Drosophila melanogaster: one gene and its partners. The protein of the gene in region 2 interacts with the protein of the main gene of each other region in a pairwise test. Each region holds a gene or a part of one and is shown on either strand. Other genes may lie near its edges. The genes, in order: CG8065, CG17778 and CG43996.

The links.
Region 1: the proteins of CG17778 (region 2) and CG8065 interact in a two-hybrid assay, tested with the Drosophila melanogaster proteins (one large-scale study listed by BioGRID).
Region 3: the proteins of CG17778 (region 2) and CG43996 interact in a two-hybrid assay, tested with the Drosophila melanogaster proteins (one large-scale study listed by BioGRID).

The regions. Positions count from the first base shown.
Region 1 is NT_037436.4:10,213,522-10,218,196, forward strand, and holds CG8065 (uncharacterized protein), read left to right. Parts: upstream 1-2,143; 5' UTR 2,144-2,190; coding exon 2,191-2,778; intron 2,779-2,838; coding exon 2,839-3,153; 3' UTR 3,154-3,459; downstream 3,460-4,675.
Region 2 is NC_004354.4:492,156-497,507, forward strand, and holds CG17778 (uncharacterized protein), read left to right. Parts: upstream 1-2,458; 5' UTR 2,459-2,561; intron 2,562-2,622; 5' UTR 2,623-2,914; coding exon 2,915-2,962; intron 2,963-3,313; coding exon 3,314-3,649; 3' UTR 3,650-4,214; downstream 4,215-5,352. Other genes in the region: CG17896 (uncharacterized protein), read right to left, coding at 1-473, 1,233-1,262.
Region 3 is NC_004354.4:17,020,694-17,023,870, reverse strand, and holds CG43996 (uncharacterized protein), read right to left. Parts: upstream 1,568-3,177; 5' UTR 1,548-1,567; coding exon 564-1,547; 3' UTR 501-563; downstream 1-500. Other genes in the region: CG43997 (uncharacterized protein), read right to left, coding at 1-345.

The DNA of each region.
Region 1 (4,675 bases), on a different chromosome or scaffold from region 2:
ACAATCCCCGCGGTGAGGGTAAAATTAAGCGAGCCATTTGAATGGCAGCCATGGCGACAACGTCGAGAGCATAAGACTTGGACGGTCATCAAAGTAAAGTGTTTTCCAACTTTTCTTTCCTCCGATTTTTCTCTGGGTATAGCTACTGCTGGTTTTCCCTGAATTTCCCTTTTCTTTTTTGTATTGTTCTGAAACTTTGAGCAGCTGCTCCTGCGGCGCTTGTTATTGTTGTTATTTACTATTAAAGTTGGCAGGATCGTAAACAGCTTGCGGCCAAAAAGGGGAATTGCGGATTTGTGTAGTTACCCCTTTGAAACGACCCTGGTGATTGGTGATTGGTGATTGGCAATTGGCTATTGGCTTTGCCATCTGCAGTTTCGCAATTTCCGGCTTAATGTGGTATTAGTTTTATTACCAATTAAAGTTATTCAATTGCCGCGCAAAAGTTAAAAGGCTGCACTAATTTCATTTCCACCAGAAAACCCCACAAGCCCAGTAAATACGCAATGGACGGACATATCTATTTTATGCTGCCGTTTATTGTTTGGCCCAGAGATACCAAATACGACAACAACTGCTGCTGGTTTTGGGCTTTGCATGTTTAATTCATCTAATCAACATTAAGCCATGTTTTGGCAGAGAATGTGGTAGGCATTGTGCCCGCCCACCACCAGTGTCCCCTCTATTCCATTGTATTCGTGGTTCAACCGCTGTTCGTCGCCCCAAAAAGGATACAAAATTCAGTTGCAGATACATCTGTGTTGTTGCTGCTGCCGCTGTCACATTTACATAATTTCATTTGCAACACATTCTGGGCATTTCGGCACCCCCCCTCCCCCTTTCCGACCCGCGACTCATGTTTTCGGCTGGCGGCAAATTATTACACGCTTTTATTAACAAAAATTATGCTCGACTGTTGATTTGCAGCGTCATCGGAGTGGTCGTAGTTCTCTTTCCTTGTTGGCCCCTGAGTACGCATGAATATTCATCACTTAATATATGGGGTCCTATAAATAGATGCATTCTGGCAGCAGGATGCTGTAGGCAGTCACAGGATCAAGGAGCAACGGCCGCAGGCTCTTTTATTAATTAAGTTCCGATTTTTTCCTCCTTTTTTGCTTCGGTTGCAAGAGCAAAGTACGCAGTCGATGGACAGTGGCGCGAAAAAATATGAATTAAGGGGTTCATAATTAGATTCATTAATATGGATTTTGGTTTCATCAATGCTTGCAATTTAATTGACTTTATTTTAATTGATTTGGTAATCAAATAAGTAAAATACAGTTATACACTAGCTAAAGTAAATATGTTAATATTTAGATCTCATTTTAGATGACTATTATTTACAAATGATTTATCTAGCTAACATATTTAAATCCATATTATTATGAAATTGAGGGTTTAATAACATCTGGTTAATAAAATCCAACCCCCCTTTCTGATTTTGCCCCTGATCAAAAAGCAGAATACCAATGATGACGACGGCGATGACAGCGATACACGAGCCACTCAATCTTGTTGAGTAAGCGCCACTAATTTGTTTTTAAGGTCAGCATGGTCACTCCACCCACATTTCCGCCCACATTTACCCTCACCTGCCGCTACCACTTTGCATACTTTATTGACCGCATGGAGAGAATTTGTGTGTGTGTGTGTGTGTGTGCCTGGAGTCTTACCACAAATACGCTTTTAAGAGGCATTTCCAGGACGAAGGCAGCTGAGACCCACTGCAGCATCAGCTTCTTGCAATTTGGCTATTAAAAATCATTAGCAGCAGGGAATTTCAGCCCCTTTTGGCCAAATTTCAGGTGTGTGCCCTTTTCCGAAGTAGAAGAATCTCTACTGCATGCAACATTGTGCGAGCTACATACTTTGTGGCACTCTGGCCAGGCATTTTCATTAAAACGCTGAAGGCATAAATACCAAAACTGGAAACAATGATCTTAACATCCTGGTAATAAGTAATTTTATTAGGTAAATAAATTAAGAATTTAAAGAACCGTTAAAACGTAAAACTTTATGGAAGGTATTCTTTACTTTCTTAGTTTCATTCATATGCAACACACAAAGTTTATTGAATAAAAAAAATTCAAAAGTAATATAGCATATTTTTATCAGAGCACTCCATGACTTAGTACACATTCACACTACACAGAACATATATTAGTAAGCTAAAAAAAAATTAAAAATATGGACTGCAAGGCTCCTGGACTGCTAGAAACTCCTAGTGAATCTGAACTGACCCACTGCAGCATCTCCGCTCTAGATAACATACCAATTCAAGAAGAGGAGTGTCCATCGGAGTTGGAACTTTCAAAGACTTTCGATAAGCTGGAAAGGATGAGAGAACGTGTGCTATATTTGAAGAGCCTCCTAATTCATCCAGTACAAGTAAACAAAGTCGAATGTCCTCCAGAAAGTGACCAGATGAGACTGGACATCGAGCAGTCTAGCTCGGACAACGACGAACTGAGAGTAGTACAACAGGACACAGTACGAGCTTTACAGCAGATCATCGACGTAAATCGCCAACTCAAGGAGACAACTGACTCTCTGACTGGACTGGACGAAAAGGCACGGAAAAACATCCGATGCATCAGAAAGTTGTCCAAGAGGCTGCTCGAAGTGCCCAAGTGGAAGGAGGAACTGAAGCACAACACGGGATTGTGTTTGGAGCGATATAATGACCTGGACATTTCCCGAGGAAACTACCTCGACTACAGTGACAACTTCGTCCGACCCATCCAAACCAACATGAAGTTCTGTTTCGCATCAAAGGTATTGGCAACTCTCTAAGCATACTATTTATAAATACTAATTCTATCATCCAACCTCAAGGCCCCTCTTATATGCAATAAGCAGGATTATAATGACTTGGTAAGCGCTCTGAGTAAATCCCGGAAAACGCTACTGAAATGCCACGGGGAGCTATTGAAGTACACCCAGAAGGTGGACGAAGCGCTGACATTGAAGAACTTTGATACCATGGAACTTCCATCTATATCGGAGCTATCGTTGCTGCTGGACAAGAGCACCCAGGTGACCAAGCGCAGGAGCTCAATTGAAAAGGAGCGAAGATCCTTCAAGTTCGCCTGGGCTGCTCCTTTGGCGAAGCAGGAAAAATACACCCCCGCTGTCGATATTTCCGATTGAGATAATTAAAAATGCAGTCAACCACAAAAACGCCAATATTGTAATTTAAACGGGCATCCTAGTTTCGCATTTTACGGGTGCAAAAATGCGCATAATGAATACGCACACGGACATGCGGCATAAAACACACAATGATCGGGCTAATTGTGCAAAAATGTTTTTGCAAATATTTTGTTAACAAATTTTGCGGCATTTTAAGCCACAGAAATGCAATTAGCCGTGAACGTAATTAACCGACAAAATTTTAGTGTGCAGTGGCCACTTCAACTGAAATGCAAAAATAAAAATGGGAAAACCACCAAATGCATGGGCACCAAATTTGAATTAGAATTTGAATTCATTTTACGAGAGTATTGAGCTGTCGAAAGGGGTTCCGATCTGATGAAATTGATGGCCAGAATGTCTTTGACACCTTAGCGGAGCTTCATTTTTCGTTTGACAAGGGTTCAGAACTCGGTAGACCTGGGAATTTCCCCAAAGAACGGGAGCAACAAGTTTGTCATGAACGAAACTCCTTCCGGGCCGAAAATTTCAGCCATCAAATTGGGCAAACAACAGCCCGAGCAAAGTTTGTGGCCAAATTAATTGAACGGACCGTGTCCACAGGACTCGCAAGGAAATGCTTTCCGCACGAAAGTCTTCTGCCCATGGAGCCCTTACCTTTCACCTTTGACATGACACTTAATTCATCGAGCGAATGTGAAGCCGAAAATTTAATTTAATTAGTGGCCTCCCCAAGTGTTGAAGGTGCTTGGAGGCCTCGTTGGAGTAAAACTTTTATGGCAGCTGTTGAGCAAGGATACGCCGTGTTACGCCCTTTATTCCCGATATTGCGCATTGGCTGCACATGTCCTGGTTGCCAACTTCTCGGGTCCATTGTTCTTTTGTTGCCCGTTTGAATACCTGGAATACTTGTGCGCCACTTGCTCAAACCTCTGACCCTGCAGCCTTCTCATATAGTTGGGCTCATAGTCAAATGAACGCAGTTAGGGAGTTCGAGACCACGGAAACTTGCTCTGTTCTAAAAGGGAAAGCTCAGACATTCATAACTCCCTTGTCATCTTCATATAGTCTTAGGTTTCATTCAACTGCGTGCCCAACCATTATACCATTTAGCAGCACAGTCCATCGATCACCCAGTCAACTCATTGCGGCCAGCATAAAAGTTTATCTGCAAACAAATTGGAAATTTTAATAAAAATTCTTGCGCTAAATTACGCTTAACAATCAAATCCCCACCTTGGACTCTTTGGAATTCCCAATCGCAATCCGAATCCCCCGTCATTGTCATTGTCCAACTGTTCGCTTAAGTGGTGTTAAGTATTTGAAAATCTCGGCATCGGTTTTCCGCCCCAGTCGCCCTCACTGCCACTCCCATTTTGCCCATCGCATGCCTTCCGTTTTATTGTTTTACAACAGTTGGCCAAATACTTTGGCTAGCTAAAAGTTTTGCCCTCATGGTCATCCAATTGTCTGTGATTTACGGAGGCTTCTCCAAGGATCCTGGGGCGGATGTCCAGTC
Region 2 (5,352 bases):
ACGCCAGCGGTTACTCCGAGGGGCAGCACTAGTGAGTACGTATCCATGTCCCTGGCCACGTTGGCTACGGTTTCGCCCATCTGCAGAGATGGGATGCTGCAGCAATGTTCCACCACCTGAAGGCCGCGGAGCACGTCGCCCTCTGCGTCGGCCAAGGTTTTGCCCTGCTCCTTGGTAATGTTCTTGGCCAGCTCACCCATGTTCTCCTTGATGAGAGCCTGCAGCTTGAACATCACCTGCTGGCGGGTGAGGATCGACTGGTTGCTCCACGAGCGAAAAGCCTTCTTGTTCGACTCAAGGGCCGCCTGCATCTCCGCCTGTGTGGCCTTGGGCACGCGGGTGACCACTTGGTTGGTGGCCGGATCGTGCACGTCAATCCATTCGTTCGTCTTCGACTCAACGAACTTGCCGTCGATGAAGAGCTTGGTTGTGGGAGCGGCTGAAGAGTAGGACCTCTTTGCCAGATGGCGGGCCTGGTGATAAAGGAGGGACAAGAGTTGGTAAACAGCCAGTACAAAAGGTATGAACTCCGATCGCTAAGCGTACTTTATTTTCCCACTTCCACGTATACTAAACCAAAAATTTACCATTTAGTCCACCTTTCATTTGCTTTGCAAATTGCCCAGTGCTCGCAATCCTAACCTCAACGGCCGGACAAATCCGTTTAATGTGGGGTGAGGTCTATTTTTTTGGGTGTTGATAACTTGAGTGGTAGGCGCGCGGGGGGCAGCCGCCCACGCTTATCAGTGTCCATCTGGCAAATTCGAGATTTTCATGGCGCGCCTGTCGTGGAAAGGTACCGCTTATCGCGTTTTATTGGATTTAACGTCAACTCAAACATTGTACCGCTAAATTCCCCGCGAATTCGCCTTGTGCGCTTTATCTGCTTAATATTCTGGTTCTAGTTCTACTTCTTCCGCTTCGCAGCGACGTATTGCGTAACATGTGTTGTTTTCAACTGCCCGTTCGCCGCTCACACCCGTGGGCCATTCCAATCACTAGAGTGGGTGGAGTGTGAGATGGGCGCCGAAAGTGCATACATTACATGCCCAAGGCCAATCGCATCGCCAATTACCGAATTCACGGCCACACCAGTGTCAGAGAGAACGAGAGAGAGCGCCAAAACGATCCAAATGCTGATGGATGGATGCACGTATGTATGTATGTCAGGGTGAGGATGGCAGCCTAGCATGCCTATAGGACATACACCCACCCACCAATTGGAAACTCACCTCTGCTCCGATCAATCGCACTAGGGACATCTTGGGGATACGGAGATGAGAATTTGGTGCGGGGATCGGATCGCGTGCTCTCCGAACGGTGGCTACACTGAAACTGAACGCAGCGCAGCCGCCCATTTCTGATGCCAGTTATTCTCCACTGTTCTCTACACATATACATGAATGGAAATATATATGTACATATATCTGTATAGGTTTGAGGTAATGTATGGTGGTGTGGTGTGGTATTGGCATGGTGTGGCGATTGTTGATATACGAAGGCGAAGGCGAAGACCACGTCAAAAAGTGCTTTACATTAGCAAGTGGTTATAGTTTGATGCTCACACACACGTGTACACGCACATATGTATGTAACTTGCTACCGCACACACCGTTAGGAACCGGGGGCACAGCTGTTGTTTTTGTGTTGCTCTGTTTTCGCAATTGTTGCTGTTGCTGTTTTTTGGGGGCTCGTTGTGAGTATGTGTGTGTGAGTGTAGTGCTTGCTTTGCGGTGTTTGCGTTCTTGTCAATTCCCTGCTGGAAGGGAATGTTAGCTATGGTGACGGCAGTGTAGTATTGTAGTACCCAAATGCATACTCTATGGTTAATCAATTTTATGGTAATCAAGCCAGTTTATGTGTTCCAGTTAGATTGTAACAACTTTTTAAGTGTACAACAGTGGAAGTGTATTGGATCTTCGATGCTAGACATGCTGAACTGGCTTAGGGTATTTATAAACACCGGCGGATCCAATGTAGTATATTTGTGTTTTTCCATCAACGTATGTACATATGTACATATGTACGTATGGACACATGTACATATGAACTTAAACGAAATGTAATCAAATATTAATACTAGTGCTTAACCGAGGATGGAAAAAATAATCAATTAGGTGATAAGTGCTTCCTAGCTGAACAGATAAATCCTAAAAATGTTTCCTGGAACGCAGTGTGGACAGAAGCAGGCTGGCGCATTTTTCACTTTCTGAATGAAAATTTGTCTGCCTGCTTTTAGGCTTTTGGTCTATTAAAATAGCAAGTTCGCTTTCATCATCGGGCAGGGTAAGCTTTTGCTAGCAGCCCCGCTTCCTGGTCAACATAATCAAAAGGACTAGCCTGCACCGGGAAAACAAAATCCATGGAAATAGATGCAACACAAATGAAAGGCTTTCTCTTTTTTAAAGAAAGTGGTTTGCTTTGTCTCTCAATGGGACAATAGTAGCTCCTTTCTGCTCTTCAGTGATGCCCACCGGTAGTTGAATCAAGGAATTACAAAAAAAAAGTTCTGTCATTTGAAATCCATAACGTTTACAAAAAATCCATTGGCTTCGAAAAGTGTAAGCATATACTAAAAAGAATTCGATTAAATATAGCATATTTTTATACGTTGTTTTTAAGCAAGCTAAAGAAGTACCAGCACTGCCACTCGCTCTTTCTCTCGCTCCCTCTCTTGCTGCGGAATGCGGAAGTCAACTTGTGTGCAGGAGCATATAAATAGTGGGACCAATCGCAGGACTCGCTCACTCTGCTCGGAGAGCTTGGACTGGACTGTCAGCGCTCCGGACGACGCGCCTTAAGTTAGGCAAAAACAATTTTGTTATTTGCCGCAGTATGGACTTGCTGCGCTGACTTACTACTTACTGTCATGCCAAGAGGCTGAGGTCGAGAGGCAGCTTGGGATCTGGAAAAGATGGAGGCCACGCCGGGCTACCAGGACATCAGCGCTCTGGAAAAATCGGTGAGCTTATCGACCAGGCAAACAGAAATAGCCACTTATTCATTCAGAAGTATAGGCACTCAGAGTGTAGTGAGAGAAATTAGGGACACTCCATGGCGGTCTATTACAATCATAAGCCACATTGTCAGTTGGTGCCGAAATATGAGTATTTAAGATCTTTGTCCAAAGTACCTAAATGTAGACTGTTAATCCAAGTTTATCGAACTTAATTTAAGATGTTGTTATCAGGATTTGATCATAAGTTCTCCTGGGAATATCTTTTCAATGCTTCCCTAAGCTGAAGAGAGAACGGAAGCGGCCAAAATTCAATTACTTAATCCATAGGTAACCTACATTTCCCTCTGCTTCAAGGTGGCCAATGCAGGATCGCAGCTGTACACGATGGCCCACAAACTGCACGCGGTGGAGCGCAGCCTCGAACAGACGACGATGGAGCAGATGGACGAGATGGAGGTCCTCGAGTTGCTCGAGTCGATGAGCGAGGTGACCAACGAGTACCAGAATCTGCGCAAGGACATTCGCGAGGTGCAGCAGTTGCAGCGTGACGTCAGCAGCTCCATACGGTACCAAATGCGCAGCATGCAGCAGACTTTTCACACTCTAAAACAGCGGATAGCTAGCTCCCAGAAGGGTCGCAAAAAGCCCGAGAAAGGGCTCGATGGAGCAGGGGTTGGTATTCATGAATAATCAATGACCCTATTGATTGGCCTCCCTGGCGAATAGGTGCGGTAAATGTGTCAATGGGGACGCAAATGTAGGGACTAAATTGGCACCAATCTGAAGCAATCAACTGTGTAACTATATATCGCAAGCCCACTCCAAGCATTTAGACTCGGAAAAAAATCCTATACTTTATATACATGTATACACATTAAGAAAACCACACCCATTGTATGCGAATTAAGGTTTTTTTTTGGTGTTTTATTCCAGTGATAGGCAGGAATAACGAAAACTCACTGCTCTAAGAACACAAAAACACAATGCTTAACACAGAGTAAACAACATTTACGATGATATGCGTTCTTTAGGACGAACCGGAATGTCTGAATGCACTTTTCCAAATTTTGCCTTAACATAATAGTATTTTGAGGTAGTTTTTGATACGACACGTTTTAAAAGATAATATATAACAGACCGTACATATTTAGGCCACACACAATGGTTATTCTTGTGTTAGTTTCATTTTTGGAGATTTATTTGTTGAGCTCTAGAGAAAATAAAAGTTAGTTAAACCTCGGGAGACGAGGAACGCATATATTTAAATCTGGCGCCATCCGGTTGTCAACAACAACCTTCTGGCAACTCCTCTAAGTCGCATCTGGCAATGTCATCTGATCGCAGCCGAGTGGCAACAGTGGTCGCTGCTGCGTTCGCGTACTTTCGTGACTTCATTTGCGATTTTATTTATATTCTCCGTGTTGCGAATAAAATGTATGTATCATGGCAGTTGTTTAAGAAGCGAATATACGCTGATTCATCCTAGGCTGGCGAGAAGATCATTGCGAAAAAAGTGTACGAAAAGAAAGTGCAATAACTGCAGCTCTATTGTGCGCGCATCTGGGTGTGCGTAGATCTTTGCATCGGTGTGTCGGTGTTTTTTTACGTTTGTGTGCGTGGCGTGCCCACATTTGTGGCACAAGTTTAAAAATTGGCACTAAGAAAGTTCAAGAAAGTGGTTCTGGGGAAAATAGTTCATTCATTCAGCATCCACTTTCTGTTGAAAGTGGCGCGCCTGCGTTTTGTGTCTTAATCATCGCATTGCTGCCTGCCTACGTGTACAGAAACTGCGAGCGCTCCGGGAGAGTCCCCGAGAATCCCCAAAATGTTGTTTTTCTGCCTAGCCTTGATCATCGGCTGCGCAGTCGGAGAATACAGCGAAGTCCGGGTCATCCAGGAAGAGGACAACTTCCTGGAGAGTCCTCACTACCTAAAAAACGAGGAAATAGGAGATCTTTTCAGCCAGCTAGCCAAGGATTACCCCGACTTGGCGCAGACCTATACAATAGGCAAATCCCTGGAGGATCGACCCATCTACGCCCTAGCCTTAAGTGCACCTACCGGGGAGTCCAAGAATGGAGATCTCCTAAGGCCAATGGTTAAACTGGTGGCCAACATACAAGGCGATGAAGCCGTGGGTCGTCAGATGGTTCTCTATATGGCCGAATACCTGGCCACCCACTACGATGGGGACCCGAAGGTCCAGGCGCTACTAAATCTCACCGAAATCCACTTCCTGCCCACCTGTAACCCCGATGGATTCGCCAAAGCCAAGGTGAGTCACCTCCTGTTTCTAGCTTATCAAGAATCCACGGAAAGCAAGTTTTGGAACGGAAAAATGATTGTAAAGTGAGTGTCGAATCGCCCGGCCAACTGTTTATACAACACACTAG
Region 3 (3,177 bases), about 17 Mb from region 2:
CAGCTGCATTTCCTCCTTTCCCTCCTTGACCAACATGGCCCACGAATCGGGAAACTTGTGGTGCGACTTGCGCTGTGAACGTGCCATATTCTTGCCCATGCGGTAATCTGGGTTCAAATCCAAGTCACTGGTGTCCAGTACCTCGTCCATGGCGTCCACATCTTGGCCTTTGCGACAGTTCGACTGGACCTCATAGTCCTGGTCCGTCATCTTTTCAAACATGTCCGATTCATCATCGTAGTCGTAGAAGGTCGGTTTCTTTGGTGGACGTCGTCCGTCCACTTGACAGCGCCCGAAAATCACAATGGAAATGTAGATTATCACCAGTAAAGCGACGGAAGTCATTTTCGATAAGTTGTCGGAGTGCTGACTATAGTCGGAATGAGTAAAAGCGGCTGAAACATTTGGCAGAAGAAGGGCTGGCGTACTTGGATTACACATTTCATATAGTATTAATATATTTTTTAAAAGTTGTGAACATATTTAAAGCAAGAGTACATACAAATGGTTTTATTCTTTATTGTAGGGTCTCTTTAAGTATTAATATTCATACAATATTTATTTTATAAATCCGGAGTTATCATTCTCATCACATTTCGCTCGATCTCATCCCGACTGTCCATGAGGCGACGCAATTTAGCATCGTAATCCTCGTATCGTTCTTGATTTTTTTCATCCGGCTGTAATTGCGATGAAGCCTGAAACTCCTCTGATGTTTCCGGTGAGGTCATCCAATATCTCGACTTTGATCCCGTGATGTCCTGGCCGCTGTTCAAAGTGGTTTGCAGCTGGACAGGACCATGGAAGAGTTGCAATAGAGGCGGAACCATCACTCGACGATCCTCAGTAAAAGCTTGTGGCTGGACCTCTTTGTTATCCACACTGTCCTCGAAATGGCAGTTGTCATCAGCACACAGCTCGGTTGCCTCATAGAAATCCGGCTTCTTGGACCATTTCAGACTAGGATGTTCCGTAGGCGTAGTGCCTTGGTTGTTGTTTCTGCATATGTTGTCATTTTTCGCTTTTGACAAGCGGGATTGAAGGATCTGCAGATTATCGGTTATGGCTTTGGTGTGCTTGTGCAGAGATCCCAACAAACAGTTAATTCTCGAAACAAAAGCTTCATCCTCAAAACTAATGTCGTCGTCCTCCTCTTCATAAGCCTCATCATCGCCATTGTCTTCATCACCATCATGGATATCATCGTCATCACTATTGCCCGCAGGATCGGCATTCTCGTCATCGTCCTCGTCCTTGACCATCTTCCTGTCAACCTTGCAGCGATCCTTCTTTTCATACTTCACATCATTCGGATTTTCGGCGGGACATATGCCCGATTGCGAGTCCATGTCGGTATTGACCTTCCACTGATCCCGATCTCGATCGAAATCGTCCTCCATGGCACCGCTTCGTTGCTTCTTTGGCTTTTCAAATATGGAGTTAAAGCCATCAAATGTGTCACCATCGTCAATATACTGTATCAGTTGAGTCAATTGAGTGTGTAGCAAAAGGATAAATATAATGATTATTTTAGTTAACCAGGCCATTTTATTTTGTTAGAGCGTAGCAAATGACATTTAATGCTTTTCGAAACATTTAAACATCAAACGATGATTCCTTGAATTTTAATTGTTTGCTTTTGATTCTCATAAACATTTTCGCTCAACCTCCGGAATGGAAATCTTACAAAACCAATGGATTCCTGTGGCTTTCCTTCCGGTATGTCATCGGTTTGCATTCCTGCGGCTTCTGGCGGCTTCATCTCCTGATGCTTTTCTCCAGCTTTTCCCTGATTTTCCCGCAGTTTCCTGCTGCCACTGACGTCAAGGATGCGGCACTGAAATGTTCACTTATTGCGGTTTTTGTTTCCATTCTTTTACCCCGCCTGTTGTTTACAACCTGCGCACGATTGCCCCAAAGGTGCGACCATGGGCGGGTTGGCATTGGGGGTTGGGAAATGTGGGTGGTGGTGGGTTGTGGATAAAAGGGGGGGGGGGGGTGGCGTCTAACGAATTCATCAGCGCTCACAAAAGATGAAGAAAAATGGTAAACTGAGGCCAAAAGATGGCCACGAGCGAAACACCTACGCAAGCGGAAGGGAAGTCACTCACCATCTCCCACAAAAAACCCCTACACCACGACATGCACTGGAAAAAATGAGGAAGGAAATACAAAAACTTATTTTGAGATTTTGAGATGGTTTATTATAAAAGTTTTTGATTGTCCTCATTCATTCAATCCTATATACTATAGGAAAACATGCATATTTTCTCAGATCTTGAAATGTTGGACAATTTTTTCTTAGTGCATAATCACACCATGCTGAGCGTCACCCTTGCGGAAGTTGCTAAAGGATGGAAAGGATGCCGGTGAGGATGGAAATAGAAATAGAAACGCAGCACAAGTGCTACAGACAAGTCCGATGATGAAGACGATGATGGTGCAGGTGATCCAGGTGCCTCAGGTGGGAGTGGGGATAGTTACGACTTATATGCATCACCGGAGGACGATGGGCGGGGCATGATGAGTACCGCTCTTGGAAAATGCATTTTCAGTGTCGCTTTCCTGCCGTGGGTGCAACAAGCTGTCCCATGAAAATGTCTTTATGCCCGAGCAAAATTGGAAAACATGCGTGCACTGAGGGAAATTCATCGATCGAACTTTTTATGGAAACTACAATTGCGATTAAGGCATCTTAAGTTTTGTTCAATTTGTTATATTACTGTATTTCATAAAAGGTTTTAACTACACCTTTTTCGTTAAGGCCTAAGATTATTAACATTTTACAATAAAAGCTCGTTATTTTACTATTTCTCTAGGTGTAGAGGTATGCTTAAACAGGTTTGCCCCTCAGTTATCATGTCCTCTTAGAGATTTGATTTAATTCCGCCGGCCCACTCTAGCATTTTGTAATTGCTCGACCAGGCGACTTCCCTGCAATTTGCAATTAAACTGCTGCAGTTGATGGCAGTCGTCGTTGGGGAGTCGATTCCATTTCCACAGGATATACAGCGAGCAGGAAAACGCACATCTGTGCGGGAAAAAGTTGGCCAGAGGGAGCTTTTTAGTTCAGTGACATTTAAACTTTAATTTAAAGTGGCAAGCCCTTTTACTCGCAATGGCAATTAGCAGTGAAAGGAGGGGAGAACTAAATGAGCTATTTCTAATTATGTGTTT